Mytilus edulis: one gene and its partners. The protein of the gene in region 1 interacts with the protein of each later gene in a pairwise test. Links are inferred from orthologs where the notes say so. Each region holds a gene or a part of one and is shown in the gene's direction. Other genes may lie near its edges. The genes, in order: cyclin-C-like, cyclin-dependent kinase 14-like, cyclin-dependent kinase 5-like and cyclin-dependent kinase 1-like.

Evidence for each region.
Region 2: the proteins of cyclin-C-like (region 1) and cyclin-dependent kinase 14-like interact in a two-hybrid assay, tested with the Drosophila melanogaster proteins (2 studies listed by BioGRID). The link is inferred for Mytilus edulis from reciprocal best matches to the Drosophila melanogaster genes CycC and Eip63E.
Region 3: the proteins of cyclin-C-like (region 1) and cyclin-dependent kinase 5-like interact in binary tests that used the Drosophila melanogaster proteins (3 or more experiments, as listed by UniProt). The link is inferred for Mytilus edulis from reciprocal best matches to the Drosophila melanogaster genes CycC and Cdk5.
Region 4: the proteins of cyclin-C-like (region 1) and cyclin-dependent kinase 1-like interact in binary tests that used the Drosophila melanogaster proteins (3 or more experiments, as listed by UniProt). The link is inferred for Mytilus edulis from reciprocal best matches to the Drosophila melanogaster genes CycC and Cdk1.

What each region holds. Positions count from the first base shown.
Region 1 is NC_092346.1:91,811,970-91,820,660, forward strand, and holds the start of cyclin-C-like, read left to right. Parts: upstream 1-5,346; 5' UTR 5,347-5,497; coding exon 5,498-5,529; intron 5,530-8,691. UniProt on the Drosophila melanogaster protein: Component of the Mediator complex, a coactivator involved in regulated gene transcription of nearly all RNA polymerase II-dependent genes.
Region 2 is NC_092357.1:68,246,140-68,253,956, reverse strand, and holds the start of cyclin-dependent kinase 14-like, read left to right. Parts: upstream 1-4,052; 5' UTR 4,053-4,164; coding exon 4,165-4,213; intron 4,214-7,817.
Region 3 is NC_092345.1:21,240,551-21,248,832, forward strand, and holds the start of cyclin-dependent kinase 5-like, read left to right. Parts: upstream 1-4,625; 5' UTR 4,626-4,720; coding exon 4,721-4,757; intron 4,758-7,570; coding exon 7,571-7,659; intron 7,660-8,282. Other genes in the region: SWI/SNF-related matrix-associated actin-dependent regulator of chromatin subfamily D member 1-like, read right to left, coding at 508-582. UniProt on the Drosophila melanogaster protein: Probably involved in the control of the cell cycle. Interacts with D1 and D3-type G1 cyclins. Possible regulator of neuronal differentiation and/or development.
Region 4 is NC_092352.1:29,769,108-29,777,967, forward strand, and holds the start of cyclin-dependent kinase 1-like, read left to right. Parts: upstream 1-5,161; 5' UTR 5,162-5,249; intron 5,250-5,731; 5' UTR 5,732-5,801; intron 5,802-8,094; exon of another isoform or gene 8,095-8,205; intron 8,206-8,433; 5' UTR 8,434-8,474; coding exon 8,475-8,511; intron 8,512-8,860. UniProt on the Drosophila melanogaster protein: Plays a key role in the control of the eukaryotic cell cycle. Required for entry into S-phase and mitosis.

The sequences.
Region 1 (8,691 bases):
CTATTAAATGTGGACCTTACCGTATTGTTGGTGGAAAGACGGGGACATGTAAGTCATTTTTTGGCATGACACTTATCGATAGAAGGGTAACTACGATTTTTATTGTTAAAAATATTAGCGATGGTCGTATTTTTAGATAAGCGTTTTGAAGATTGAGACGTGTAGATACCCTTTGAACGAGTTTAGTATTAAAATATTTTTCCATTTCTAATCTTCATATTTGTTTTTTTGTTTGTGAATTATATTAGAAAGGAGCAAAGACTGGTGTCCAGAATATGAACCAGCATACAATGAATTAAGTTATGTAAAAATGATAAATCTGTTCGGATAAAGATGTCAAACGCTATCCGTATTAATTACCCCGAAAAGATTAGGATATATCAGGGTATCGACTGACGTCTGACAAAATAGTAGAAAGGGGCTGAATATTGAAGTAGTTACTTTTTGATAAATATTCCTAAAGTAATGAACTAGAGAAGTTCTCGCTCGGACACACACTCCATAATCTAGTATATTATAAGAGCATATGCCTAACAGTATAATTAGGCAATAGACTTACTGCCTAGGCGTTAGCTTATTGCCTAGGATTTAAGCTTAATGTCTAATTTCACTTATTGCCGCTAACATATACATTTCTCTATAAAACAGGTTTGTTCAGATAATAAGCATACATGAAAAAAATGTTAGAATTTGTCATTTAAGGGCAATAACTCCTACAAGAACTCTTCTGACAAATTTAAAGTAAATTGACAATCTGTAAATCTCATCATACGTAACACTTAAGTTCATGACAGATTGTTTTTGTTCATATCGGTTTTCAGACCAAACTTGGCTGCTGATTTTCTATATTTATCTAAATGGTAAAAGAAAGAAAAATCTTTAACCAACATTTTCTCTTTCTTTTCCTGTAGACGGTTAGATATATGTCAAAAAGAATAACATCGGAAATGTGGTATCGGGAATCAATGAGGAGGTTTTGGAAACGGGCTACAGACTTATTTAATCATTTTATGGGTGAACCAAAAAGTATTGGCCACATTACAGAAAACTTTTGTGAGCTCGGAATGACAATCACAAGACGCAGTGATTAATTTTGCAGTTCCCAGCCAAAAGATACGATCAGAATTCATCGCCATGGACCTTGATATCCCAAATTCTTACTTCGGCTTTAGATATCTTGGTTTTAACGTTGAAACATGTCTTCAAGTTCCATGAGGCTGAAATGGTTTCCTTGTGATCAGTGGATTACAGGCGTAACTGTTACAGCTATCGGAAATTGTCGGAAATGACCTTTCTTGTATCAACTCGGTTCTTTCTAGTGCAAGTGACATATTTGGAACATACTCATATTATGTTAATGAAAGCACAATAGATATCTCGTATCAAGGAAACCATGACAGCCTCGTGGAACATGATGAAATGTTTCAACGTTAGAACCAAGATATGTAAAGCAGAGGTCAGATTTAGGGTTGTCAACGGCATAGCGATGAAGTGTGATAGTATCTTTAGTTTTGACTTGGAACTGCATAAAATTTTCCTGCGTCCTGGGGATCGTATATTCCACGCTCATAAAAATTTCGGAGTGTCTATTCGTTCGGTTGTCCGGCTAGCCGGACGAATAGCCATTACCTGCAAATTTTCTGTAATGTGTCCAATACTTTTTGGTCCACCCATAAAATATAAAAAAAATACCGAGAAAAATGATGTAACCAGTTTCCCGTCGGATACAGCCGATTTCCGATGTTATTCCTTTTGAAATTAATCTGACCGTCTACAGGGAAAAAAAAGAGAGAAATATTGTCTAAAGATTTTTTTTCTTTTACCATTTGGATAAAAGATAGAAATCAGCAGCCAGATTAAATTTTTTTGAATCTCTGTTTTGAAATCGTTAAGAATATTAGTGTCATCGTCTTCATCTCTCCTTGAAGCTGTATTGACATTTGATGGAAAAAAAATTCCGGTGAGTGTTTCATTGGAGAAAGTAATCGAGTTTGTTTTAGAGTGGTTGCTTTTGCGGCTTGCGCGAGAGCTTTTGAGAGGAACCTGGTGATGCACTTTGATGGAGTTTGACTGATGGTGGCTTCGGCCAAATATTTTATAGAGGTGTGTTCTGTGATTTTCCTCGATGTATCTGTGCAATGAGCCTCAACCGGGACCTTTTCTGAGTCAATTTTTTTACTTTTTACGAAATCAAAAGCACATGTCTTAAAAGACAATTTCAAAGAAAACAGGCAAAATGAAGTACATTCAGTATGTAATGTCTTATCATAAAATAGCAGATATGTTTGAACTAAAAAGTATCAGATATAGACCGATTTATATGTAAATCTATTCTATTTTTATAAAAAGCGATCTACCCCTTGAGACGCAAAATCTGACACCCCGAGCGACACTTCATATTTGGATGAAAAACTAGTTTTAAAATCAATTAATTTTAAGTAAGAAGCTGGTATTTGGTTAAATTACATGACAGGAATTCAATTCTATATGATACGGAAGGAAGTCGTCTAAAGAAGTTTTTTATCCAGAAATTTGCATATGAAGCCTCAAAATCTGCAACACGGAAAACTAGGGAGAGGTGTTTGAGGAAACATAGTACTAAATACGACTGCTTCTGCTTGCAGGAAATAGATTATGTTTCAGTTCATTCCGTGCAATACATTTTATGGTACTAAGAATTCTAAGAAAAAGAAATTTTGATACTTGAACTTACTTTGATAGTTTTTCTCCGCTTCGAAATTGCCACCCGGCCCGTGTCAAACATAGCCGACACCCCGCATGCATGTGGCGTTCTACAAGGTGTATTTGCAAAGAAAGAAATATGGATATGAAAATGGCACAAAATAATGAATGTACGCATTGTCATTCAGATAAAGCACAAACAAAATTATTTTCAGCAGAAAACAATATGGACCCTAAACATATTCCTTCCAAATTTATTATTTTATTTTAGACCGATGAAAAACCAAATATGTAGGTATATGATTAACTGGCATATAAGGTATTATATATTAAGAAGATTTTTTTAATAAAATTGAAAATCTTTTCCAGGTCATTTAAACATTTCCATACCGCTTCTCCTTCTCATCAGAAACCCTGCTAGTACTAGATTCAGTATGAATTTCGTTTTCACCGACTTATTCTCGCCCATTTGTATATTCATCAAATCATCACTTTCCTTTTGCAAGATATTTGTTTTAAAGAAGTCCCTGTGCTTTTTTTTTATGATGAATGATCAGTAACTATTGTTTAAAGTAAAGTAAAGTAATCTTTATTTAAAGTCGGTTTGCATATATACATAATAACAAGGAACATATGATCTTAAGAGCTCTTTAACCGACTGATATTAATAAACAAAAAATACATGTAATAACATCAGATACATATACAACACAAACACACAAACAGACAGACAGACAGCATACATATGTATCAATACATAAATAGCACATGCAAAATAAAAGCTAAGCAAGATATATATTAAAAGAATGTCAAATATCAGCACATAGTAGAATATATAGACAATAACTGTTTAGTGTCTTTAAATATCAGCTGTATTTGTACGAGGCTAGGAAACAAGGTGTATGCGAGCTTTTAGCGAGCTATTACACCTGTTTCGAGCCGAGTACAAATACAGCTGATATTTAAAGACACTAAACAGTTATTGTCTTTATCCTGCAATTAATTCTGTATATCATTTGTGTTTTGAAAGACACAAAAATACATATTTTGCATTTATTTTCGATTTGAAATCCCTTGAGGCCCGTGTAGTAATACGATATGTAGTAATCACACATTCAGAAGAAGGCGGGTTCGCAAAAAAAGAATCTCGAATGGTCAACAATAATACATCGCTCAAGGTGAATAATTATCTATTTTAACATAACAACTAATTTCAACAGTAAAAACAAATAACAAAACATTGTCCAATTTGAGACAGGAGTGTACGAGTTGTCCTACGCTTCAGACTCGACATTTACTTAAAATGCATGCTGAAATTGACATGGTTGTTTTTGTTACACAACCATACACATTCAAGTTGTTCATGTGTGTATGTTATCAGACAATTGGTGTGATTCTTATTGCTCTAAAGAAATGTTTGGAAACAAACAGAACGTATAAAAGTAATCGTTAATTCGCAATTGATACGTCATTGGAATGCGACTCCAATACACATTCTGAGGTCACGTAGGTTCATACAATACTCAGTCCGGCAGTTGGCGGAGCTTTTAAGCGATATCTGTATAGTATACAGATACAGCAAAGCGATATCTGTAGGGCTGTATCTGTATAGTAGAACACCCAATTGCAGGATAAAGTAGTATTTATATTAGAATAGCACATGTAAAATTAAACACTATGAACACAAGCAAAAGACTGCATGCAGCTAAAGCACACAATGCATAAGCAAATAAATAAATAAATAAATAAATAAATAAATAAATAAATAAATAAATAAATAAATAAATAAATAAATAAATAAATATATAAATAAAAATAACCGGCTGCAAAAAATAACGGAAAAGCGAAAAGTTATCCCCAATACACGGATGCCCCACTCGAACCGGGTATCATTTTCTATGTTCAGTGGACCATGAAATTGGGGTAAAAACTCTAATTTGGCATTAAAATTAGTACGATCATGTCATAGGGAACATGTGTACTAAGTTTCAAGTTGATTGGACTTCAACTTCATCAAAAACTAACTTGACCAAAAACTTTAACCTGATGCGGGCTGGGACAGACGGAAGAACGAACGAACGGTACGACGAACGGACGGACGGACTGACGCACGCACGAACGTAGGTGGGCATAACAATACCAGGCTTCAAATTCAAATCATTGGACAGCAAGGAGTTACATTATTTACAAGAGCTGCAGGTACAATTTATGAAAAAGAGCAGGTGGAGATAAAAATTTTAACTGTTTGAAGGCTAGAAACTGGCATTTAAATGTTTTGTATGGTTTACTCAAACCTTGGCCTTACCCATAACAACTATGTTTTGTCAATAACTTGGTTTATATCAGGTTAATTAGTGTAAATGTGTATTCATGTGGTTTTTTGTTTAAATGTACTTTAATCATTCTAATCATTTTCTGTGCTTTATTTTGTAATTCATTTGATTGTATAGCTCAAATTTTGGGCACCATGATTGGTTAATAAAATTATCTATCTACCTTAACTTTGCACAGGGAGAATTATAAATGTTTATTCGCTGGTTAACGATTACGTTCGTCAATTCCATTATTATTTATATTGTTACCAATATCGAGGGGCCTCAAAATCAGCTTCAAAATAATTGACGTCAAATCTCGGAAATGTCACACAGTTGGTCGGCATTTGATGCTGCGATTCTAATCATTTTCGGACATCCGGATCTTTTTTTCCCAGAAAAAATAATAACATTACAGATAGGACTCAACTAGAAAGCACCTGTTATTAATACCCCAGTGCGATACAGTTATTTTGATAGTATGAATTGATACACAGTTGAAAATGGCAGGAAACTTCTGGCAAAGTTCTCATTTGTATGTACAAAAAGAAGTTTAATAAATATTAGCATGTACCACACAAAAGATTACTATGAAAAATGAAATACTAAGGCATATCAGAAAAAAATCATAAATTGGATTGAATTCTTTTCTTTCAAATTATCAAGTGGGTGAAATAAAGGGAAGTCAATAGGTATAATTTGTATTGCCTGTTAATATGAGGCAGGCATTACCTGTAAATGGGGACGAAGTCTATATGAATTATTTTTTTGTAACTCAATTATTTGTCAAAAAAAAATACACGGAAATACAGTAACGTTTCCGATTTTGGTTCTGTTGTTAAGGATTTTAGTTGTGACGTTATTTAAATTATGACGTCATATGCAATGTAAACAAGAAACGCTATCATTAGGTAACGTTTTTTCATATCAAGGAATTATTAAAAATAAAATAAGTATTGCGCGTTCCTTCCTATTTTATACTAGACTGATAAATATATATTTTACTCAAAGTTTCATACAAACGAGACCGGAAAAAGGAAGTATATTGTACATTTCTGCGCAGGTCCGGAATTTCAAAACATGACATAAAAAAAATTGAACGATTTTGAGTTCATTAGTACAATGAAAAATTCGGGAAATTTTCCCGAATTTTTTTTTTTATTGAATTTTCTACTGTTATTGGGGACTTCGTCCCCATATAAATATTCTTTCAATATATTACAAAAGTTAAAACACAATATATCGTCGTGTCATATGTTTTTGTATGTCATATGTTTTCGTATCAACCACATTTCGTCGGTTTCGACTGCATACGCGTACATTGTGGCATGTTTTTCTGTTTATATATTTAGAACAACAACACTACTACAACTTGATATATTTAAAACATATTCAACGTCGCTTTTTAAAGACGTTAGAACAAATTAAATAAAACTGACCTATTTAGCCATTTTTATTTAATGTCAAAAATACGCATCACTAGAATAGTTGTGGAAAAAAATTCTGAAGGGTTAAAATAAAGTCCAGATATGTTTTTTTGCAAGTCAGACACCGGATCTTCAAGACGTATGACTGTCATGTGTTTTTTTGGCCGTTTTAATTACAAACCATCGAGTTAAAATTAGCAGGGTTCTTATATAAAATGGTTGTTCAAAATCTAACTATTCAATATTTCATTGACAATTTTTTTTATACATCCTTGATACATGAAGATGAAAACAGTCTTTTACTTTTTATATTTAATCATAAATTTTGAAAACTGCATTTTATTTTAGAAAAAATAATGTATTTTGTACAAACCAGGTGCCAATCTGAAATTAATCAAAATCTAAAAATTTCATCACACGAAACACCAACCTTACACTTTTTACTAGTAATTTTTTGTACTGAAAAGTATTTAATAACTTTTTTTAAGATTCAAGCGATCACCCGAACCACGACTTTAGAAAAAATGTATTTCCGGATTTTGTAGTCATTTCCTGTCCGTGTACTGATCCAACTTTTATTTCATACGAAAACATATGACACCGTTTTTTTGACATACAAAAATCGCAAAGTAATCGGAAACAGTAAAAAATCGTAGAAATCATTGACAAAAAAACTAGATACCTAAAATCAATCTACAGGACATGCTTTTTAAATTTGAGTAAACACCTAAATAGAAACTCAACAGTAAAAACCGTAAGCAGTGAAAATTGTTATAAGTACGAAAACACATTACACGATGATACATGTATCATAAATAATTAAATACATGTACACAAATGAAAATACATAAACATAAATGCATAATAAATATATTTTTTGGCAAACACATCATCCGCCAAGCCTGAAAGGCCGCCAAAAAAATAAAGATAAAATACTAACTATCAAAACAGTTAATCATGATTAACACCAGACATACTATTATCTTTTTTCTCTCTTCAAATAAGCTCCTTCCTTTCAAAATGTGTATAGATAATGAAAGGACAAAACAGCAAACCAACTCAGAATGTATGTAGATCCTGGGTAGTTAGAGGAAAACCAACATTATATTCAGGATGCAAGTTCTCTGAAAAGAGAAAAAAGAATAATTATAGTAAACAATATACATGTATGAAGTACAAAATGTAAATAAAAACACAATTGTAACACATTACAATTTATATACTCTGATGCTTAATAATGTTGATTATCTTTTTTCTGAAAAGTTCTGTACCAGCAAAATTTAAATGAAGCCCATCTCTCGGAAGCAAATGAGGAAGAATCTGGAATATTGTAGAGTAAGAAACTCTATACAAATTACAATATAATAAATTATTTCTTTTACACAATCTTTTTAACTCAGTATTAACTTTATTAACTTTAGCTCCAGTGTTCATGTGATCAACTGGTCTAGGAAGACTTAGCAAATGTCTTCTTTTTTAACTTGTTAATTAAATCTCCAAAATAAGACATAATAGTATCTACGGATTGAGACGAAGAAATATTATTAGTACCAACATGTACTATAAGGAAATCTAATGAAATTAAATCTACTTTCCCAGATGAAATTAATTCAGTAAGACGACCAATAGTGGCACCAGGAAAGGCCTGAGTTGTACACCCATCTATTCCACTAACATATTTAGGTATAGACGCTGACACAATGGTCACCCTTTTTTCTAAGAAATTCCCTGTAAAATTTATAATAAAACATCTGAAATATGTGCTGTCATCTTTTCTGCTACTGAAATCTTATTGTCTAATGAAATTTTAAATATCTCTTGTAAGCATCGATTTTCCAATCTTCGTACAATTGAATTAACTCCGTAGGTACTTCGGCTGCAAAAGCCCAGCTAGCCCCCCCCCTCGCCTAAAACTATGTGTAGAATATGACGACGCATCTATACCAATCTCAGTAATTAACTGTTTCAGTATTGTCTGAAATTGTCTATACAAGACAGGTACACATAATTTATTTTTTATAAACAATAAGCTGGACTCTTATCAGAAGTACAAACCAAAGACTTCATATTCAAAAAAGCTTGAACGGGACACAATGGAGAATCTGGTATTGAGACTAGAGGTATCAATAATTCTCTCTAACCAAACTGAATGGGGTTCGACCATTTAACACTTATCAATAATAGCTTACGCTTACAATCGAAAATAATACATGTACTATCCCTACAAAGCTGTTTATTATGATCAAAAGTAGAAACAGAATCTGGAACCA
Region 2 (7,817 bases), on another chromosome or scaffold:
CTTAGGATGCACTCTATGTCACTATCATGCTTGTCAGGTCAATAAAGATTGCTTATTTTGGCGTTAATATTGATTCACTTATTGGGTCTTTGCATCGGAACTAAACACATTTATTAAAAAAACAGTTGTTGGCATGACACGGGTTATGTTCTTCTCATATATGTTATGATGGTATGATACTAAACCCCTAACGGGAAGGATTGTGCCTGATATTCATATGATGAAATCATAATCTTTCAATCAGTTTAATTGAAGTCTGGAGCTGGCATGTCAGTTAACTGCTAGTAGTCTGTTGTTATTTATGTATTGTTGTCATTTTGTTTATTTTCTTTGGTTACATCTTCTGACATCAGACTCGGACTTCTCTTGAATTGAATTTTAAATGTGCGTATTGTTATGCATTTACTTTTCTACATTGGCTAGAGGTATAGGGGGAGGGTTGAGAGTTCATAAACATGTTTAACCCCGCCGCATTTTTGCGCCTGTCCCAAGTCAGGAGCCTCTGGCCTTTGTTAGTCTTGTATTTTTTTAATTTTAGTTTCTTGTGTACAATTCGGAAATTAGTATGGCGTTCATTATCACTGAACTAGTATATATTTGTTTAGGGGCCAGCTGAAGGACGCCTCCGGGTGCGGGAATGTCTCGCTACATTGAAGACCTGTTGATGATCTTCTGCTGTTGTTTTTTCTATGGTCGGGTTGTTGTCTCTTTGACACATTCCCCATTTCCATTCTCAATTTTATTCCATGTTGTGCAATATTGTTTTCCAGTGTATGGTGCGTACTCTGATTGTCCTTCCGTAATTAGTATTCTGTCATACATACTCTCATGGTGTGCCCCCTGTAAATATTGAGCAACCATGCCATAAGGTATACTTCTATGACCAAAAGTAAACTCTGTCGTTGATAGTGTAAATACAAAAATTTTTGCATGCATTTATTTTTGTGATTTTTTAAGAATAGACAGCAATGCGAGATTGATTGTTGCGATTTCAGGAAAATCTATTAGAATTCAGCTGAATTGCTACAACCACCATGTCGCATATTTAAAACCATGCAATGAAATCTTAATTTTGAGAGCAACTCTGTCAGTATTGTACTTCAATGGTGTGTACTCTGTCACGAAAGAGAGACCAAAAATATCAAAGGGATACACAAACTCATTAGTCGAATATGAACTAAATATGCCATAGCAAGGGGGAGGACAGGGGGGTACCCTTCTCCCTTCTCCCACCCCTTTTCTCCTTTCTCCTACCCCCGTTCTCCTTTCTCCCATTAGAATAAAACGTCTCCTTTTGAGATATTTTTTCTTGAAATATTAGAAAATTTTTTAAAAGGAGAGATATTTTATTTTTCTCCTTTCTCCAACTTTTTCTCCTTTCTCCCAGCCTTCCTCTCCTTTCTCCTACCCCCTTTCTCCTTTCTCCCACCCCCTTTCTCCTTTCTCCTACCCCGTTTCTCCCTGTCCTCCCCCTCATAGCAAGAAACGAAAAAAACGACCACAAAACAAATAGTAGTATACAAAACATAATATAGAAAAATAAGACTTAGCAGATGAGGACCCCCTCCGAAATCCCTTTAAAAAAACTAATCAAAAATATCAGATGATCCGGAGGAGTAAGAAAATCCAGCCCCAATCGTTTCACCTGCGGTTTTGCTCATGCAAGCACAAACACGATGATTTAATTTAGTATAATTTCTGTAAATTTCGCTCTTTTAATTCAGTGGCGATAATTTGTACTAAATGCAATGGCGGATCCAGGGAGTTCCGAGGGATGAACCCTCTTTTTTGACGACCAATGCATTTGAATTTGACATATGATTGGACCCCCCCCCCCCTTTTGAAATGGCTGCATCCGCCCCTGAAATGCGATTTAAATAATGTGGAAAATGAACACTTACCTTGAGAAAAAGATGACACTGTAAGCAATATTTATTATCATACTTCACATAAAAATGCCGTATTTTGATTGTCTAATACGCTGGTGTTAATTTACTCTGTCACCTGGCTGAGCGGGTGACAATTTTAAGTAGAATGTCACTCTCTCGTCCATTCCAATTAAAATCTATAATTTATAAAGGGAAATGAATTGAATTTACATTAAGTTATGAAAGACCATTCTTAAGTTCTACGTTTTGGCTCAGCTGCGGATTTTACAATTTGAATGTCAGTTGAAATGGAAAAAAACAAAAAACATCTTGCTTAACTTCTGTTGATTTTTTTTAATACCAGTAACGTTGTTGCCGGTGTTACTCACAGGCACTCGTCTCAGAAAAAAAAAATAAAGGTGTATAGGGGCTGCATGAGACGAGTGCCTGTGGTGTTACTCTATATTTAATTCACCTTGCATCTGAGACTACTATAACACAGTGTTATAGTAGTCTCAGCTTGCATGTATAAATTCAAGACAAAAAGCTAAATAAAAAAACCACACACACACACACACAAAACAAACTTTTCCCACTACATTTATTATTTTAATTATTTTTCTCTAAAAAATTGTTCACAATAAATTCCTGCGTTTTATATCGGCAGACTATTCATTTTCATTCTGTCTAATGTGGGAAAAATCATGTATTTGCAACTCTTACCAGTCAAGGTCGGAAGATTCATTTAAAAAATCACAATATACTTACAATTACCTTTAGGGAGCAACCATTTGCTGCGAATGGTCACGGCCTGTCTTTTTTTTTTTTTTTATTAATTTATCCTTACTTTTTTTTTTACATTGATTGTCATCCTTCATGTTTTGCCAAGTTGCTCATCATGCCTGCCCTATTGTTATACTCAAAACTGTCCAGTCCTATCTTTCATCAAATATTTCATTCTACCCCGGCCCCCCTAAATTAAACAATTTGTAGCTGCCTTATACGTGTTCATTTTATATATTTGCATCTTTTTAGCTCACCTGGCCCAAAGGGCCAAGTGAGCTTTTCCCATCACTTGGCGTCCGTCGTCCGCCGTCGTCATCGTCGTCGTCCGTCGTCCGTCGTCGTCCGTCGTCGTTAACTTTTGCAAAAATCTTTTCCTCTGAAACTACTGTGCCAAATTAAACCAAACTTGGCCACAATCATCATTGGGGTATCTAGTTTAAAAAATGTGTGGCGTGACCCGGCCAACCAACCAAGATGGCCGCCATGGCTAAAAATAGAACATAGGGGTAAAATGCAGTTTTTGGCTTATAACTCAAAAACCAAAGCATTAAGAGAAAATCTGACAGGGTTTAATTGTTTATAAGGTCAAGATCTATCTGCCCTGATGTTTTCACATGGATTGGACAACCCATTGTTAGGTTACTGTCCTGAATTGGTAATTTTAAGGAAATTTTGCCGTTTTTTGTTATTATCTTGAATATTATTATAGATAGAGATAAACTGTATACAGCAATATAAACGTTCAGCAAAATAAGATCTACAAATAAGTTTCATGACCAAAATAGTCAATTGACCCCTTAAGGAGTTATTGCCCTTTATAGTTAATTTTTAACATTTTTGATAAATTTTTGTAAATTTTTAGAAAATATTTTCCACTGTAATTACTGGGCCAAGTTCATTAGAGATAGAGATAATTGTAGCAACAAGAATGTTCAATAAAGTAAGATCTACAAACACATCACTATCACCAAAACACAATTATGTCATGAATTTATCCGTGTCCATTGTTTAATATGCACAAGACCAAGGTGAGCGTCACAGGCTCTTTAGAGCCTCTAGTTTCTCTCTCATTACCGTATTTAACAGTATGTTGGGCTTAAAAAGTCAGTTAACTATGATTATTCAGTGACACACAGCAAACTGAACTCCAAAGTGCTGAACTCACTAGTTTATTTACAAAAAATTAGGGGGGCAAAAATACGTCAGTAGATACATAGCAATAATTTCTCGAAACACTGTACAATTCTTATTCTGTCTATTTCATCGGAATATAACGGTATGTTAAGTGATCGTAAGCGAGTGGTCTGATTGATTGCAAGCAATATTTCATAACTATAATTGTAGTTAAATTTCCCGCGGTTTTAACTAGACTAGAAGAGTTCCGAATGAAATGTATTGACAGAAAATCGAAAATCAGAAAAAGGTCGCCAAACAACAATGGAACATTTTCTTACAATGAAATGAATTATAATGAAATTTAATCATTCAAAAGTGAATTCACACGGAGAATATGGCGACCGAAGTCCGCTGTAATGGTGAAAAACCGAAATCAAGAGACGGTAAGGTTTTTTTCAAGATGTTTTTGTGTAACCGGATGACTCATGTCGCATAAAAAAGGGGTTCTTCGTTGACAAAAGAATGACTGTTCTTGACACACTTATTGACATCTTGTAAAATGAATGTTCATATAATAATAACATTTTGCATTTTGTAATAGACGCCTGTAATATTTTATTTGTTTATTAGCGAAGAAATTTCATATATATGTTTCAGTTTCAGTTCAGCCGAACAGCTGAACAGTGCAGGCCTGTAGCATACCTGCCAACTTTTCAAAATGCTCATGGGGGTTTTGCGTGCAAGATGGCTAATGTAGTCCTACAAAACCTTCAAGGGGACCTTTATGTATATTTTAATGTTGTTTTTAGGCTTCTTCATACTGTTACAAACCTTTAGCCACTATAAAACTAATTGTTTTGTTTAAATTTGTGGACAAAATTGCTCTTTCAAAATTTCCATTTAGGAGCCTCCATGGGGGAAATCCCCCGCAAATAGTGACACTTGGCAGGTATGCTGTAGGTTGTCCAACCTTTCAGACAAGTGCACATGTAGTGTCATCATCATTCATATGACAACCTTAAGTTTAGACTATCCTGGCCTGAAACTAAAAGATCCTAATTCCAAAATTTTTACTGCTGTCAAATATATTCTTGTGTTTTTGGCTTTTGTTAATTTGGTGTGTTTGCCCTTTAGGCTCTATTTATGTTAGAAGATGGTCCCTTTCCCAACCTCTCAAGTAATTTAATAAAAGTACATTTGTACATGTTTTTTTGAACATTTCCTAGCAGTCACTCTCAAAGATCAAGTCATCATGTGTTTCAAAGGACCACAGAGTTGCATTATTTATTGGGGCTCTCATTTGGGGGGGGTTCTGATCCCGGATCCCGCTTACTGTTTTGTCAGATTCCCGTTTCCCGCTTACACTATGTACGTAAGCAATTCTCATTTTTTTGTCATTTCCCGGGTCCCGTTAGACCTCATTTCCCAATTTCAAGACATAATAATTTGACTTTCACGTGTCACACTTAAAAGAAATCGGCAATCCTGCGTCACGCTTAGACCTCATTTCCCGTTTTCAAGACACAATAATTTGACTTTCACGTGTCACACTTACAAGAAATCGGCAATCCTGCGTCACGCTTAGACCCCAATGAGACTCACTTTATCAGCATTGGTAAATTGGCCTAAATTTAATTGTTTCTGGGGGACTATTTTCCATATTTGGGGACCACCTCAGACTTTTTCTACACTGCTTGGTCAAATTATTTGAAAAAAAACCCCTGCTTTCTTGTGCTGTAACATAATATTATATTAATATCTTAAATTTAAAAATGTAAAAAAATAGTGCCATTAAATCATACATTGTACATGTAGGTTGGCAACCAATTTTCAATACTAATATAAAATGAGAAGTGAGGGGGGGGATAGGGTCGGAGGGGGTCTGATCCTGAAATCTAGGGCTTCAAAACATGAGATCCTGAGGTTCCAACTTTAAAGAAATTTAAATTCCGACATTCCAGAAATTGAAAAAAGAATTTCTAGATCCTGAAAGGATTAATCCCTAAATCCCAAGTTTAAAAACACCTGATCCTGGCGTCCCGAAAAAGGTTCTGCCCCCCTTTAAAATGAGGCTTTAATGTTATTTGCCACCAATTGAATTGAACCAATTACTACATCATGTCACAGAAAAAGAATGTTAAATGGTCTATTATAGTGTCATACAATATCTGCCCTTTGATACAATACATGAACATGATTTGATATTTTTTATCATTGTGAAATTTTCAACTAAAAAGGCTCACAATTTAGTAAAATATCTTTCATTTCCATTTACATTATTCAATGTGAGGGGAGATAATCACTTAATGAATTGCAAAATATCAATATCTTTTCTTTGAACTCAATCTATCCTACATGTTTATGGTTACAGGTACGTGTAGATACATGTATATAAATTGTACAAGTAAATAAATTGTAATTTTTAACAATATTAGTTATTACAGTAATAACTTTGAGAACCATCAGGGGCGGATCCAGCCATTTTAAAAATGGGGGGTTCCCAACCCAGGATAAAGGGGGGGTGGGGGTCCAGCTATATGTCCCCTTTAAAATGCATTGATCGGCCAAAAAAAGGGAGGGTTCATTCTCAATTTTATTATGATTCTCCTTTGGACAGCCCCAATATATAATTAAATTTGTATATCTGATGGGATACATATCAGCTAATTACTTTTAATTATTTAATATACAATGTATATATTATAAGATTGATTTTACAAGCACCTAAGCCAATATAATCATCCTCACTGTTGTGTTTACATATAAAATAAACCAACTTATTATGTTTATTTCCTTTGAAAAGATATTGATCTTGTAGTATTTATTTACATAAGAGAGGGTTTGTAAATACTTAAGATGTGGTAATAATACTGTGTACATGTGAAGAGAAAACAGGTGCATGTTAAATGCTTGAAGTCAACTTAATTCCAAAATTTGAAAAGGTATTACATTTAACATGTTTAAATATATATATATATAAAGAGGGAATTTGAAATATTTTTAATCATAAACATGCAAGAGTTCATCTCTCTGTCCAGTTTTTGAACCTGGTCAGGTAAATTTGTTCTTTGCTTTTGAAAAGTTGCTGATAAAAGAGAACAAACATGATTTTCTCGCTGCATTGTAGATACTTTGGCTGTTCTCTTCTCTTTGGTCAGGTTGTTGTCTCTTTCACACATTCCCCATTTCCATTCTCAATTTTATACTTATTTTTGTAGTAGGGTCTAAGGCATGAAAAATTAAAATAAATAAGGCCACACATTAAAAAATATTTCTTAGATGTTTCCTACCATGATGCCTCGTACAGTTTAGTATATAGAGAGGGATTTTTTTCTTGGCCAAAATTGGACTTTAGACGAGACATAAAAAGTAAAATCACAAAAATACCGAACTCTAAGGAAAATTCAAATTGAAAAGTCCCTAATTATCAAATGGCAAAATTAAAAGCTCAAACACATCAAACCAATGGATAACAACTGTCATATTACATTTTGTATTACAGACTTTGTACTGGGATTTTATTATGTAGAAAATGAGAATGAAACCTGGTTTTATAGCTAGCTAAACATCTCACTAATGTGTGACAGTCGCATCAAATTAAATGGATCTAACTAGACAAGTAGGTTTTTTTTTGAGTTTTTCCCTTATTAAGATGACTTTACCAGAAGATTACAGTCGGTAATTTTAAGTGAGATAAAATTGAGAATGGAAATGGGGAATATGTCAAAAAGACATCAACCCGACCAAAGAGCAGACAACAGCAGAAGGCCACCAATGAGTCTTCAATGCAGCAAGAAAATTCTGCACCCAGATGTCCTTCAGCTGGCCCCTAAATAAAAATGTGTACTATTACTATAGTTCAGTGATGATGGATGTCATACTAAACTCCAAAATATATATAAAAGAAACTAAAATTAAAAATTTGTACAAGACTATCAAAGGCGGCAGGTTAAACAAGTTTTTTGAGATCTCAACCCTCCCCCTATACCTCTAGCCAATGTAGAAAAAAACAAATGCGCAACAATATGCACAGTAAAACTCAGTTTG
Region 3 (8,282 bases), on another chromosome or scaffold:
TTTAACATATTTAACATATAACAGTTAGTTTATGTTTGACTCCATCACCTTCATATAACCAACTGTAAGTTGATCATTATGACAACTTGAATACATGTATGTTGATATTTTCATGGAGTGCTGCTGTATTTATCTCAATACTGCATAAATTCTGACGTTATCACGAGACTTTTGTGACTAAATTTAAATGGGGAAATGGATTATCTTGTAATTAAACCCATTATTTGTTATAAGAGTTAACCACAGGCAAAGTAAAGCCATAAGTCTTTGGAGTGTGTATACTATACTGTACATCAGACAGCACCATAACTGACGACTGATAAGCATTATCAGTTGCATGGTCCTAATTTTGTGATACCTAGTATGTATAAAGCAATAAAGTATTTCCCTCTAAAAAGTGATATACAGTCTAAGCATTACCATCCCCCTTTTTGTTTTGTTCTTAACTTTCATAGTTGTACACATGTATATTTATCTCACTAATCTTTGACAAGAAGATATACATACAGGGGAATAACCTGGCTGGGGAAATGGTCTCATTGGTGGTCCCTGTGCTGGGAACGACCGCTGTTGTGGCTGCATTTGATTTTCTTTGTCGGCTTCGCTTGGTAAATTGAAATCTCGTTTTTTCTCGTGACCATGAAATGACTAACTACCACAAGATATATATTTTCGGTCTTCAGATGATGTATAAAGATAGTGTTTCGCCCCATTTATTGTTCGGCACTTTTAAATGTTAAATTTCGGCATATATTTAAAATAAAAATAAAAATCTCAGAAATCTGATTATTGCGATCTTCCTCAACTTAATATTTTTTAATCGGTTTTTGATCATGTGTGACTCTGATTTTTTACAACTCAACTTAGCTCGCTCCAATAAAGTCTAAGTGGTTAAAACTATCACATATGTCATAAGCATGTTTATAATGTATATTTCTCGTTACTACTGATATGTATAGAATTATAATGTATCATTTTGCATATTAATTAAGAAATTTTACCATGTCAAAACAAAGTCAGTTTTTTTTAAATTATTTTTATTACATTATCATTAACAAAAAAAATCACAATATAATAGACTAATGGAATTTTATAAACATATTGTGTTGGACATGTATCAAATGGTAAATATCAATGTACGACAATATCTAAATCTGAATAATATAGAACATAATGTATTACAATAGGAGTAACCATTTCTAAGACATCAAATTTAGAACAAGACTCGGAATTCAACTGGCTTATAATAAAATGTGTACTAGTTTAATGAAAATGGACGTCATACTTAAATTCTAAACATGCATATAAATGAACTAGAATTAAAAAAAAAATAACAAAGGCCAGAGGCTCCTGACTTGGGACAAGCTCAAAAATTGCGGCGGGGTTCAACATGTATATCAATTATATGGTCATTTTTATAAATTTTCTGTTTACAAAACTTTGAATTTTTCGAAAAACTAAGGATGTTCTTACCCCAGGAGTAGATTACCTTAGCCGTATTTGGCACATCTATTTGGAATTTTGGATCCTCAATGCTCTTCAACTTTGTATTTATTTGGCTTTTTAACTATTTTGATCTGAGCGTCACTGATGAGTCTTATGTAGACGAAACGCGCGTCTGGCGTATAAAATTATCATCCTGGTACTTTTGATAACTATTATCTCAACCCCGGCCTATACCTCTAGCCAATGTAAATTGAACAAACACACAGCAATACGCTCAGTAAACACTCAGTTTAAAAGAAGTCGGAGTCCGATGTCAGAATAGGCAGCAAAAGAAACTATAAGCAAAATGACGATGATACAAAATTAACAAAGGACTTCTAGCAATTACTGACATGCAAGCACCAGATCTCATTTAAACTGATTGAAAGATCATATCCTGTATTGCTGTATTGAGTATTCTGTAATTTACCACTCAAACTGTGTCTTTTTATTTATATAGTATGTTACGACATTCGGTGATGTCAAACTGTTGCATCCATGGGTTTTTCACTCCAAATTAAACAGAAAATAGTTATTTAAGGTAGATGGGGTGTCTAAATTACAATCCATATATTTTTTTAATAATTTGCCAAAATATAGTCTAAATCATGCTTTAAAAAAAAAATAGAATGGGTCACGGGGCTTATTTTCCCGCTACATGGTGTTCAAAATTGACAAATTTTGTATAGATTATGTATGGAAAACCCAATTTTCTGCAATAAAGCGTAAACTACACCATAGAATTTTGAGATAACATATGAGAAGATAGCTTTAATAGTATGCTTTCAGTTAAGTAATGAAAAAAATGGGATCACCGGACCCGTTTTTTCGCTATATTAAAAAAAAAAGGTAAATTCCTAACACATTCTATTGTAAAATCTGAATAATCTGTCCTTGCATTTGAGTTGCCTTCCCTTATGTGGCAAAGTTGGAAAAAAATTTATCAAACAAAAGTTTTCTGTTTTTTGTAAAATACAACCATACTGAAATGAAAGTTCTTACGCATGAAATACCCACTACTCTAAAAATTTGCACATTCTATTAAAGATCTAGACCTTGTTTTCTGGTATTTCCAAATCCAAGATGGAGGAAGACACCATATCTACCTTATTAATGCAATGAAAATGACATTTTTCTGATCAAATTACAAACACTATATACCATCTGGTTTTAAGCTTTTTTTTTTAACAAGGATAGCGAAAAGTAGAAATGAGCTGTTCACTTAAGATATCAAAGACTGTTGTAGCCTAAACAAGTAATACAGGAAGGTATTGTGTTGTGGAAGAGTATGAGTGTCTGTATGAGTCATTGCATGTTCTTGTGTGTGAGTGAATCGGGTTTCCTGGTTGTTGCTTGTCCAGGACATGCATGACATATTTGCCAGTGGACATTAAGCAACTCAAAATCAACAATCCTGGTCACAAGTATAGTTGAGCTACATGTTTATAGTACGAGGCTGTATGATGAATACAGCATACGTTTCTGTCAGTGACGTTAATTTTATTGTGGTGAATATGTTTAGACCATCTCAATTTCGGGTTACGACTTGGTTCTCTGTTGTATATAAATGAGCAAAACAAGACTATTCAAGTTTTGACAGAACGAGTGTTTGATATCCCTGGGTTTTAAATCGCGATGATTTGTGTTTTCAGATTATGTTTACGGAACCACATTGATTTATTGCGGTACTGTAGGATGATATATTATACTGCAATCAGCTATTTTACTATACAGATAAAGCTATACGTATAAACGTTAGCTTTATACGTCAATGACCTCAACTCACCTATAAGCCCCGCCTACTTACAACTTCACGTCGCAACCATGACAACATGTAGTAACAATGGTCAAAATTTTATGAATTTAAACCTGTTATGTCTTCAAATTGGTAATTTATATACCATGTTTATCAAATATTATTAATTAAATTCATTTTCCCTTTCTAATTCCTTAAATTGTCAATGCTTACCGCCTAGACTACGCTCATAGGGAAATACCCAAAAATGGTACCCCAAGGGGGAAATTCCCAACACTTTTTTTTTCAAATGTTTGTTTCATATTTTTATTATTTTTTTTTTTTTTTTTTATCGATTTCAGTATGATAGAACCTCGCATTTTCCCGTTTCTAAGCCTCATACAAATAAATTTCACATTTCAAGACACGGTATACGTATATTGTCTAATATCAACTATATATGTGTTTCTCTTTCGAGGTATGACTGTACTACATGTATATGGTACAGCGGTATTTAGCAGAGGTTACATATTCTAGTGTACGATCGATTATGTAGAATGTAGCCATGCTAAATGGGTTGTTTCTTTTAGCTGACGGATAGCACAGTACATTTATCTAGATAGAAAGCAACGAAGCTGTTAATCTCTCTTTACTTACATTTTTCTTATATATTATATTATATATAGTCTAAAATAAAATTGAGAATGGAAATGGGGAATGTGTCAAAGAGACAACAACCCGCCCAAATAAAAAAACAACAGCAGAGGGTCACCAACAGGTCTTCAATGTAGCGAGAAATTCCCGCACCCGGAGGCGTCCTTCAGCTGGCCCCTAAACAAATATATACTAGTCCAGTGATAATAAAAGTCAGGATGTCAGTCAGTGTCCTCTTTCATTTTCATTTATCATAACCAATGATGATTTGTTACCAAAAGTATAATTTTAAAGCCTCCTTGTCCTCAAACCCAGCCTTCTTAGTAAGTGGTCAATTCAATACTGACAGGTCATTGATATATATATATATAAGTAACAAGACTGGAACCAAGATAGTACATTGAGGAACAACAGATGTGCCAGGCACTGTGAATGATGTCTTTCATTTATGACTACAGTAACACTGAACCATAGAGGAAGCCGGCGCCGCAGCAGACAAAAAGAAAACTTTTGCAAGTTTATCAGGAAATCCCATGAGCTTTATGTTGAATGCAGACGCTAAGAATACATGAAGGCTAATGCAACAATCAATGAAGTTGTTAAAAAAAATATGGAAATTTTCAATAAAATGTAAAAAGCCTCTTTATAAAATCATTCTTGCAAAATCATTAACGTTCTCGGTCAAAACGTTATATCGAACTGTTAACTTAGATTATATTGACTCTCGGACTTTGTAAAGTTTCTAAAGAGGCAGGTGGCGACACACTACGTGTCGAAAGTAAATTCATACCATTTGCATGGTTTCGCTCCCCTGTACGATAGTTCTCCGGAAAATTGTTCCAGAAAATGCAAAAATATGAAAAATTAGAGAAAATAGGAGAAGGTTCGTAAAATTTATGAATAATATGGACGAGAACGTTGGAAATATAGTAGATAATTTGATAGTTCGATTTTTTTCTACTTCAAAGAAGAAACTATAATCTTACGTCTATGTTGTAAACAACTGAATAAATCAATAATTTATGACAGCTATAAATGGCAATAATGCTATAAGAGACAAACTGTATAATTTGCATATACTGAATTAAGATTGTATCTATGCCATTGCAACCTGAGGCACCTTAATTTGAATAAAAACACATATTGTATTGGAGTCATTAGAATAAGAATAAAATATTTTGAGATTCAGCATCAACAACACAACCCACAAGCTTTTGTCAAGTTTTGACCAAATAATTAAATGCAGTCTCACATCCCAGTAGCCAGGATTGTTACCTTTGGCTAACATAGATAGCTGTCTCACTGCCCTAGCGAAATGCTACTTAAATGTAACCTGACGTTTGAAGCCTGAATTTATATTTTTTTTGACAGGTTACTTTATCAATGGAAAAACATTCTGGTACTCAGTAAGATAAGAGCAACATAAAGAATTAAATAAAGCTTACAATCATTACAATGTTTAAGGAAACAGTTTCATGTTTTATATGCACAATTTTAAAATTACATAATGCAAAGTCAAAATTAGTAGTACGAAAACAATTAGCCCCACAGGACGCAATTACGACTGGACACAATTACGAACGATTTCCAATGTTTGCCCTCCGAGATCATATTTGTTTATATTTATCAATAAATGTTTTTATAAATAAAAACCCTATTAAAAATCCCTTGTTTTCATGATAATACAATTTATGTGCACTTGGTGAATGTTGATGACGATGACAAAATCATTCTGAAAATATTATAAGAACGGCAATCTGACCTGGAAGTTATATAAAAAAAATACATAAAGGTAAGTGCATATTGCCTTCTTTTGTTAATATATAGAAAGAAAAATATCTCCTGATTCTGTTCATATGCGTGATGCCTTTTATCATGCCCATATAACCCCACAATTGACGTTTTTAAGACTCTTGTGAACCTATTTATGGCCAAAAGAAAATATGTTAATTTTATTGAAAAGTCCAGACAACTCCGAAAGAAATGTTGACCAATATAAAAAAAATTATAGATGAATGATAAGTACACCACCGAAATGGATAAACTTGAATTTAGTGCTCCTTTAAAGGAGGAACTTACACAAAAACAAAAAAAATCAAAAATCTTTCCTTTACACATGACCGACATTTCGTCTGCAACCACTGCTGAAGTAATTGAAGTAAAAAACAAACTTGTGCTTTTTATTTTCCTATGAAAATGTGTTTGAGATAAAGATTAATGTATGCTTTATCAATATAGACTGTTGTCATTGATTTCTTCTGCAAGATATATCAATATAGTGCTGTTCGGAATTGCGTCCATATGTGGCTCTCTTGACCCGTAAAACGAAGTCACGCAAATCTTACTAAAGTATCCCAACATGCATAAAAATTTATGTGGGATATGATGCAAAATAGAAAGCCTTCATACATCTTAAATTCTATGGTATAAAAAATTCAAGAAAAGTAGTCTACATAAAAAAAATATTAATCACAGTTCAAAAATCGTTCGTAATTGTGTCCGGTGAGGCTAGTATTGCAAAATTGAATGGACAGAAATGATTAAGAAATATTCATGCATGAATCGTTCAATAATTATTAAGTTTAAACAATATTGAATTGAAATTGTTAGTTACCAGCTGGTTACCATGGTAACATGTTTCACTGGGAAAAAAGTTAGAGAAATAATTTATGTAGAATTACAAAAAAACACAAATTTCCACTGAAAAAATATGAAGTGTTTGTAAGTTTTTACATTTCTATATTATAGTTTAAGAACAGAATATGGGTATGTTAGGTACATTTATCATATACTTAGTATAAAATACAGCAATTTTGTATATCTAATAAAGGGTCTTTTTTCCAGTCTGTATCACATACCCTGTATCGAGTTCAAACTAACAAAAATGTCCTAGCATTTCAAATAAAATCAATATTTTCCAAAAAAAAATAGTACCAGTGACTTCACGAGCGATTTTCATCTATATAAAAAAAAGACACAATAAGATGGAAATATCTGAAGTTTTATTGTTTAGTCTTATTTTTTATGAAGTCTCTTTTCATTACCTGATGGGTTAAACACAAATGAAATTTTTTACGATTTTAATTTGATTAGAAAAGATAGTAAACTTTCCAATAAATATTTTTCTTGGTGTTCACTTCGCCAGAAGTTAAAATGAACCAGATCATGAATAATATCATCGCCAAATAAACAATAAAACTTTAAACATTCTACATCTTACGATATTTATTTTTTTAATATTAATTTTTGTTGAAATATTAGGATAGTATCGTTGGTGGATGCATTTTAATACATTGTCTTAAACATATAGTGAGAATTAAATTTGGTTATAGGGGATATTACGATGTGGATATTAAGCAAATAAGGAAGTCTATAAAAAAAAATCAGCTGGGAAAATACAGCACAATCACAATGTTCTTTTCTTGCTTATAATTTCGGACGATTTAAAAAAAATGGATATCCCATGAATATGATTCCATTAAAATATATGATAAACAGAATAATACATGGCAAAATCTGTATCACATGCCGTATCACCCTCGACCAATATCATCCCTTGGGAATAGAGGCCCTCGGGCTGATATTGATATCTCGGGATGATACGGCATATGATACGGATTTTGCCATGTATTATTCTCTATATATGTAACACATGATTTACTAAACATATTTACGGTAATTAGATTTTCTTTATAGGAACATATGGTACAGTTTTCAAGGCTAAGAATCGTGACACACATGAAGTTGTAGCTTTAAAAAGAGTACGACTAGATGATGATGACGAAGTAAGATAAACTAGACTTCTATATTCAGTAAAAATAGATTCTGGTAATACAAAATTAAGGAGATGTGGTTTGATTGCCAATGAGACAATTTTCAACCATGCTGAGTCCATTGATTGACCAAAAAAAGTGAATGTATGCAGTGTAGGTCACCATATGACCTTCAACAATGAGCATTGAGCAAAACCCATACCATATCATAATTGATTAAAGTTCCTGGCATGAAAAAATGTGAAACAATTCAAACAAGAAAACAACTTACAATGCTTGAAAAAACTCTTTTTTTTTTAAAGGAGGGAGTGGGGGTGGGGGCCTGGGGGGCGGGGGGATGTATACATATAAATCATACAAATTATGTTCGTTTTACAAGTATCTGCTCAGGATATGATATATAGCATGTATAGAATGTAGTGCCTGTAGTGCCTGTAGATATGAGAAGATGTGGTATGAGTGCCAATGAGACAACTCTCCATCCAAGTGACAATTTGTAGAAGTAAACCATTATAGGTAAAAGAACAGCCTTCAACCCAGAGCCTTGGCTCACACCCAACATCAAGATATAAAGGGCTCCAAAAGTGACTAGTGTAAAACCATTCAAACAGGAAAACTAACGGTCATATCTATAT
Region 4 (8,860 bases), on another chromosome or scaffold:
AAATATATACACGCCTGGTAAACCATCTAATCTCAATCTAAATGTTGAGATGGAAAAAAGTATTCTGGCACTTCTTGTTGAGTTTTTCTGGTTCAAAATATTCAAAATAAACGCAGGGTAGGTAGACTTTTCGTCAATTTACTGAAAATCAATGCGTTTTTTGTAAATTCGGAGAATGTCATGCCATAGATATTGGAATTACGGTTTATCTCGTGTATAACACAAATGAATATGATTTAAAATGACATCGTAATGACTTTTCTCCAGCAGGTAAATGTGACCAGCGCAGTCAGCTATTGACAAAATGACAGTGATATCATTGATAAACTAGCATATATATCAGTAAATTAGTATTTTTCTAAAACATTATAAACATAAAATTACTGTTCGTTCTTTTTCTTTACTAATATAATTTCATTAAGCTAAATATGTTATAAAGTATGTCATGTTGAGATTTTCTGGTATCGGTTGAGATATTCTGGAACAATGTTGAGATCTTCTGGTGAATGAAATTTTCAACTATAAAAAAGAAGATGTGGTATGACTGCCAATGGGACAACTGTCCACAAGAGACCAAAATGACACAGACATTAACAACTATAGGTCACCGTACGGCCTTCAACAATGAACAAAGCCCATACCGCACAGTCAGCTACAAAAGGCCCCGATATGACAATATAAAACAATTTAAACGAGAAAACTAAAGGCCTTATTTATATATAAAAAAAAAAAAAAAATAACGAAAAACAAATATGATTCAATATGTAACACATAAACAAACGACAACCACTGAACTACAGGCTCCTGGCTTGGGACAGGCGCATACATAAATAATGTGGAGGGGTTAAACATGTTAGCAGGATCCCAACCCTCCCCCTTACCCGGGACAGTGGTCTATATAACAGTACAACATAAGAACGAACTATAAAAATCAGGTGAAAAAGGTTTACTTAACTCATCAGATAGACAAAAATACAATGATTGGACGTGGCCGGGTTCTTGAACATCCTGACAACAAAAATACACTAGGAACAGATCTGAGAGTACTCGCAGTTATCTGACAGCTAGTTCAAAGCCACTAACTACTAATAAAAAAATCATGCATCTTAGACTAAACTATCAATCCGTACACATCCAACATCCAATGAATTTAGTGTCAAGACGTCATAAACAGTCAGAGAAAAACATGACCTTGTGTAGCTTAGTATCAATTACATGTACAACTGTCAAAATTCATAAACTTGCCGTATATTGTTTGACATTTCAACAGTCATTTTAATCTTGTCTGTAGTTATCACAGCAGCTTCTAAAAAGGACTTTGGTTGTAATAGAGTCTAAATAGTAAATAGCTGTGTTTTTTTAAGTACTGGTATTAAAGTTCTAACGCTGGAGATTAAGTCTATAGCGATTGAGATGCAGTTTTGCACAGAAGCTTTAACGTCAATAATGTTGTAATTGACACCTCAAGGGCTAGAATTTATTTATTTATTTATGTGTAACATATTTGTTTTTCGTTCATTTTTTTTATATATATTAATAAGGCCGTTAGTTTTCTCGTTACAATTGTTTTACATTGTCATTTCGGGGCCTTTTATAGCTGTCTATGCAGTATGGGTTTTGCTTATATTATAAGGCCGTACGGCGACCTCTACTGAGTTGTTACTTTATGTGTCATTTTGGTCTCTTGTGGAGAGTTATCATTGGCAATCGTACCACAGAAAGAACATTGATAATAAAACGGATACATACAAATTGAAAACAAATCGCGTAAGAAAAAGCAATTATTGGTATGTTAGTTTCCTTTAGTATCATTTTTGGTTCAACTTCTTAATCATGATCAGGCAAAATTATTGGCTTTTTATTCTGACATTTGTTTTTCTTATTCCTCTTCCACCCCATTTTTCGGCATATTACACGTCCGTTTTATTTGGTCATCACATCGCGGACTCCTAACGGATGCAAATTTTGTAAATGAAAAACTTTTGTTATTTGTTATTTTAGCAGATATCGCATGTTTAGCATAGACACACACAATTTTGTTTTTTAGAATTTAAGTTGACCAGGCCAGAGTTCAAACTAACTATCTCCCACAATTTAGCTACGTCAAATCCAGTTTTAAAATATTTAAAAAGAAAACTGAATTAATATTCAGAAATGGATAACCATTAAAGTCATTCATTTCATCAAAAGTTATGTGGAACTATCTCCTGACACTTTTAAGACAGTTTTAGCTAGAACAGTTCTAACCAAGAACTGATTTGGTCATTGGTAAGTTCTACCTAGAACTGATTTACACACTTCAACCTGGAACTGATCCTGACAGTTCCACGGCTAAAAAAATCTACGACTAGAACAGAACTGCGACCTGATTTCGCCAAGAACGCATCACGATTGTTTTGAACATGTTTAAAGTTTGCTACTCTCAACACGATCACCAAGACCTCATCAAGACCGTAACACGACCATACTGGACTACGATCGTCAATAGCATAATGCATTATTTTTTTAGAGATCGTAGTGCGATCACGGCCTAGTGTGACGGGGCCCGGGTTATAATATAAATGTTGCTGAATACTACCAAATATTAAGGATGTGCCCTGAATGCAGTTGTGAACAAACATCTAAGTTTTAATTATTTCAATACAACACCTGTGATTACACTAAATTGGACGTCACTTATAATACTTACAAAGCAATTTTAAAATCGAATCATATTTTTTTTGTGATAACTATTATAATGACAAAAATGACATCTTTTACTCACATTTAAATTATCACCACCTGAAATAGTGTGTACGAAAAAATTATTCTAGACAAGGGGTCCTGTTCGATTGTTTAGTTTTTAACTATTTTATTTCTTTATACATGTACGCATTTTCGGCATTAAATAATGTCTGTTAGGAATCGAATTCATCCAAATCATATTAATAAATAACCATGTTAAAATAATGTTATTTATATTTGTAAGGCATGCATGTTTCTATCGGCAATGCTTAAAATTGTATCTGTATTTAGATTTTATGTTACCACAGACAGAAAACATGAATCAGGTTAACCGTAAAAAAAAAGGTAAACTCGAATAGTACAGCGCAACCAGAAAGTCTCAACATTGTGACAGAAAGACTCAACCAATACCTTTATATCTCAACTATTTATATTCTTTAATTTTTCTGCTCAGAGTAGCTTGACAAAGAAATATTTGTGCAAATTACAGACGTGGTTATCGTAAAGCCTTAAAAAAAACACAAATAATTGACATATTTTCTTGCTAAGTCATTAATATCATAGCAGTTCTATCGGATTTAAAGAATGTAAACATTATAATCCGTAGGAGAAAAGTGATTGTGACTTCAATTTAAAATATTTTAAACCAAGAAGAGACATATTAGTTACAATTATTATTTATCTATGGCATGACATTCTCCGATTTTACAAAAATGTCATTGATTTTCAGTAAATCGACGAAAATTCGACCTACCCTGTGTTTATTTTGAATATTTTGAAGCAGAAAGCTCAACAGGAAGTGCCAGAATACTTTTTTCCGAGATTAGATGGTTTACCAGGCGTGATATATGTAACTACGTATTTGACTTTAACGAAAGAAATATCGGTATTACTGAAAACTATTGCACCAGGATTTTCAATAACACAAAACTATTCAAAACATTTACTAAATTTTAAAGTCGGATCAAGGACTTCATTCGTAAATATAAATCAACATATCTAAAAGACATCTAATACTTTCAGAAAGCCACGAATATCATCGGATTTAGATTAATTTGAAAGTCAGACAAGACTCAGTGTTTTTGGTTCAATGACGACAAAATTATAAAAAACGCAAGTTTTATTTATTTATTATATATCTACGGAAATATCTCATCACATAAAACATACATATCCGTAACATAATCCCTTTGTTACCGCTTTACAGCATATATGTTGTATTGCACATCGTATGTTTGTTTCCTGGAATAAAAATTGCGAAAAGTCAAAGTGAGGCGAAAGATAATAAAGGGACATTCATAAATCGAAAAATAAACTGACAACACTATTACAGAAAACAAAAAAAATAAACTACAAAAAACAGTATACAAAAACCAACGGAACAAAACATAACAAATATATGTGTGGATATTGAATGTACAAGTTGTTCATTGAAAATAAAAACATAAATAAGGCCGTTAGTTTTCTCGTTTGAATTGTTTTACATTGTCATTTCGGGGCCTTTTATAGCTGACTATGCGGCATGGGCTTTGTACATTGTTAAAGGCCGTACGGAGACCTGTAGTTGTTAATCTCTGTGTCATTTTGGTCTCTTTTGGAGAACGGTTATCTCATTGGTAATCATACCACAGGCTTCTTTTTTTTTTTATATTATCCGATTCTCCAAGACTATACACAGTTGAATCAAAAAGACCCAAAACAAAATGTTGTGAATGTTTTTACATTCTGAACATATCTCTCAACAACTGAAAACGAAAAAGAGCATCTTCTATACATCGATCAATCTTGCATCTTGAAATCTTCTACCTATCATTAAAAAAAAAAGATTGAACACGGTAATATCAGTTATCGTACACATTATTTTGAGACCCCCTTCTATATTATTTACCTCGGAAACCGAGTCGGACAGTTAATGTAAATCTATGTAAGGGACTTCACGAAACTTTCCTAAATAGATATAGATCGATATAGGCAGATGTGATATGCGTGTCAATCAGACAACTCTCCATTCAAGTCACTTTTTTTTCATTTTTTGAAAAGTAAACCATTATAGCTAGGTCAAAGTACGTTCTTCAACACGAAGCCTTGGCTCTCACCGAACAGCAGGCTATGAAGGGCCCCAAAAATTACTAATGGAAAACCATTGAAACAGAGAAACCAATTAACGGTCTTGTCTATATATTTTTTTTTTTAAACGAGTCATGAACACTTATGAATGAACCACACCAACAAACGACAACCACTGAACATCAGGTTCCTGTCTTAGCGGACAGGTGCAAACAAATGCAGCGGTTTAAAACGTTTTAATAGGAACCAACGTTCGCCCTTACCTGAAACAATAGTGTTACATCACAACTGAACATAGAAATAAAAACTATGAAATATCGATTAATATATATTGCCATTTTATGTCTCATATCAAGTTTTTTTGTCACAGAAAAAAAGATAGATTGCCATGTTTAATGGATGACACGGACAGTAACCCAACAACTTAATGAAACAGAAAACATTTTTATCAATTTAGAGTAAAAATACTTACAGAATATATATCTGTTAAGACAGTACTATATAGCTATAGAATTTAGAATGGAAGCGTAAGATGTAGGCCCCTATCTGTAAAAAATGTTGTTGTCGTCGTTGATGTTGGTCAGTAAAATAATTTAAATATATTTTACTTGCTAGCAAATAAAATCTATATTGCATATTGCAACTAGCATGCACATATTAAGTTGTTGTCGTTCAACTTGGTGGCTGTCTGTAGTAGCTGATCTTAAAAAATATTATTTTGTCATAGATAAGCTAGCCCATTGGATTTTTTTCTTTTAAATTGTTTCTTAATTTACCATACCAGGACTTACAATCTGGTGTTCGTTTTGCTGATGGTTGAAGGCCGTATGGTAACCTCTAATTGCGTGATTCAATGTAATTTTGATTTAGTTGGAAATAGGTGTCTCGGATTGAAATCACTACATCTCCTTATTCCATATTCTCTTTCATTTCATCTCAGCTCTAGAGGGTGAAACGTTTTGGGGAAGTTAGATAAAGGAGATAAATAAGTGGAGATTTGGGATTAAGAGGTAATAATTATGGAATGCTAATTGAATATATGATGTTTAAAAGTGTGATTTGTGAGGGGAAAAAACGGTATTTTGAAAATGAGCTCTTCGTGTCACCTTCACCATCCAATTCAGTGTAAAAGGTTTATAAAGATTTAAATAAAAATAAAGGGAAAAAAACACAAAAACAAATAGCCGGAGAATCATTTGTTTTAAACGGATTAAAAAAAAGAAGACAAAAATGGACAAGAAATATTTAGAATAGAAAATCATTTGGTGCAAATATCTAAAAGAAAACAGAAAAATGATAAAAAACAAATCAGTAAAAATAGGTGATAGTGGCATCAGAATCACTGAAGAATACACCTGAGAAATTCATTTCAAGTATATGTTTTGGTATTTCGCAAGATACATGTATATGCTATTGCTTAGAGTTAATTTTTCTTTTTATTTATTTTGCATGCTGCATGCCTTGTTTTATGTGTTCAAGGATTTGTATAGTATTATACAAATCCTTGATTTGTTATAATTGCATATGTTTTATATTCGGTGAAAAGCTCATTAGAGATTACGTTTGTACTGTTTGTCAAACGGCATGCCGAATCCAAATAAAGTTTTACTTACTTACTTAAAATTGAGAATGGAAATGGGGAATGTGCCAAAGAGACAACAACCCGACCATAGAAAAAAAACCAGCAGAAGGTCACCAACAGGTCTTCAATGTAGCGAGAAATTCCCGCACCCGGAGGCGTCCTTCAACTGGCCCCTAAACAAATATATACTAGTTCAGTGATAATGAACGCCATACTAATTTCCAAATTGTACACAAGAAACTAAAATTAAAATAATACAAGACTAACAAAGGCCAGAGGCTCCTGACTTGGGACAGGCGCAAAAATGCGGCGGGGTTAAACATGTTTGTGAGATCTCAAACCCCCCCCCCCCCCCTATACCTCTAGCCAATGTAGAAAAGTAAACGCATAACAATACGCACATTAAAATTCAGTTCAAGAGAAGTCCGTTACTTTACTCAGTATTCATGCTGCCGGGTAAATTGCCGTTTTGAATTTTTGGCACGCTATTTCGAGCACGTCTTTATTTTGAATTTTAGCAGTTTACTCATATTTCTCATGCAGTTTGGAATATTAAGTTCGAAAATGCACAATACGCACTGCTGTGCACTGGTCATGAGGAGAACTACTGCAGAATGAGATACTACTAGAACACACCCGTGATATCGCGGTTCCGTGACTGAATTAACGTATAACTATGCGCAAGCCTTATCTTAGTATTAGTACTGTCATCTGATAAAGTCATGCCGATTATAAGATACACAATTTTCAAATCTTTCTGTTTGAACCCGTCGAACTGGAACTTATCAATTGTTGTTAATATTAAATATTTGGAAAACAAAAGGTCCGGGAATGGAGTATCTTTTAAACAACAGCATTGTCCTATATTAGTTATAAATAAAGTTGAATTCTTTGATTCGCTGTTTTACGTCATGCCCGCTAACAAATTGAAACTTATTTCTAGTCCAGATTTTTAGTATTTGTATTGTTATCTTAGAAAGTCTTACGGATTAAAATACTACAATAGGTAACAATTTGACAATTTAGTAGTGTCAACCCTGTGATTATGACCCGTTTATATAGCATATTAATCCTGAATACACCGTTTGGTGGTGCGCCTGTTAAATGCGGAACGTACAGATAAGGTAATAGGTAACAGGTGATTATACTATTGGTATCGGTATCGGACTCGACCCGGAACTTCCTAATTATTGGCGATATTAATTACGTGGAAAACAAAAGGGCCTGCAGTGGTGTAATTTTTAATCTACACCTTTGTACTATATTAGTTGTATATAAAGTTGAATTCTTTGATTCGTCGTTTTTACGTGATGACGGATGACAAATTGGACCTCGTAATTTTAGTATTATAGATATTCCTGGTTCTATTTTTACTTTTTGTTTCCGTATTAATAAACTTTATATCATATTCTTTTAATATTAAATCGACCTCATTGCACTCAATGCCTCTGACCTTAATTATATCCTACATTGCTCATATTATCAATTTATTATTTGTGTATTACTTATAATATTGTGTATTTCACTTATGTTTATATAATCATTGTATGATGTTTTTGTATCTTGCCCGACAAGAGCCCATGATTGGTTTAATAAAATAATGTCTAATAATGTCTAATGTCTATCCAATGCGGGTGTGCTCCTTTTATACAGGAGAATAATACTTGTACACGGAGGTAAAATTTCAGGAAAAAAAAGTATCCCGGAATTGACTCCGATAGTATATTCTAAAATTTTGGTCGGTCTAACGTTTTAAAATTATTCGAATTTTTGATTGGTCATATTTTAAATGCAGGAGCGGTGAAAAAAAGAAAAAGAGGTTTGAACTCTAGGTTTAAAGGCTTAATTAACTTGAAGTTTATCTGTATTTTGATATAGTTTGTTATAGATCTTCTAGTTTGTCTTAGAGGCATGTGATATTTGAGCACATTGTGATTTAGAAGATATTTAATTTTATCGCGCCATTTTCGAATTTGCCAATTTTGTTTGAACATGCCTTATCTGTTCACATGATTTTCAATTGTTTGTTTATTATTTAAAGTTTATGAATTATGTTTCAGATACTGCACTTATAGGATAGCAGCAATACTTTATTTGAATAATGGAAGATTATGTAAAAATTGAAAAGATTGGTGAAGGTGAATATGATAATTTATTTCGTCAATAAAAGACTATAAAAATTATATCTGCATCTCAATAAGTAAAAATTAAATTTCAAGCTCTTAATTAGGCTTAAGTTTTCACCGCTTGAAAAAGTTGGTCCTCCATTGAACATGTTGAAGTTTATAAATCTTTTAATTTTTATGTTTCCATAGTGGTGAAAGACTAACAAAAAGGAATATAAAAAAGATGTGGTATGATTGCCAATGAGACAACTCTCCATAAGAGACCAAATGATACAGAAGTTAACATGTTTTGGTCATCGTACAGCCTTCAACATTGAGCAAAGTCCATACTGCATAGCCCGCTATTAAAGGCCCAGAAATG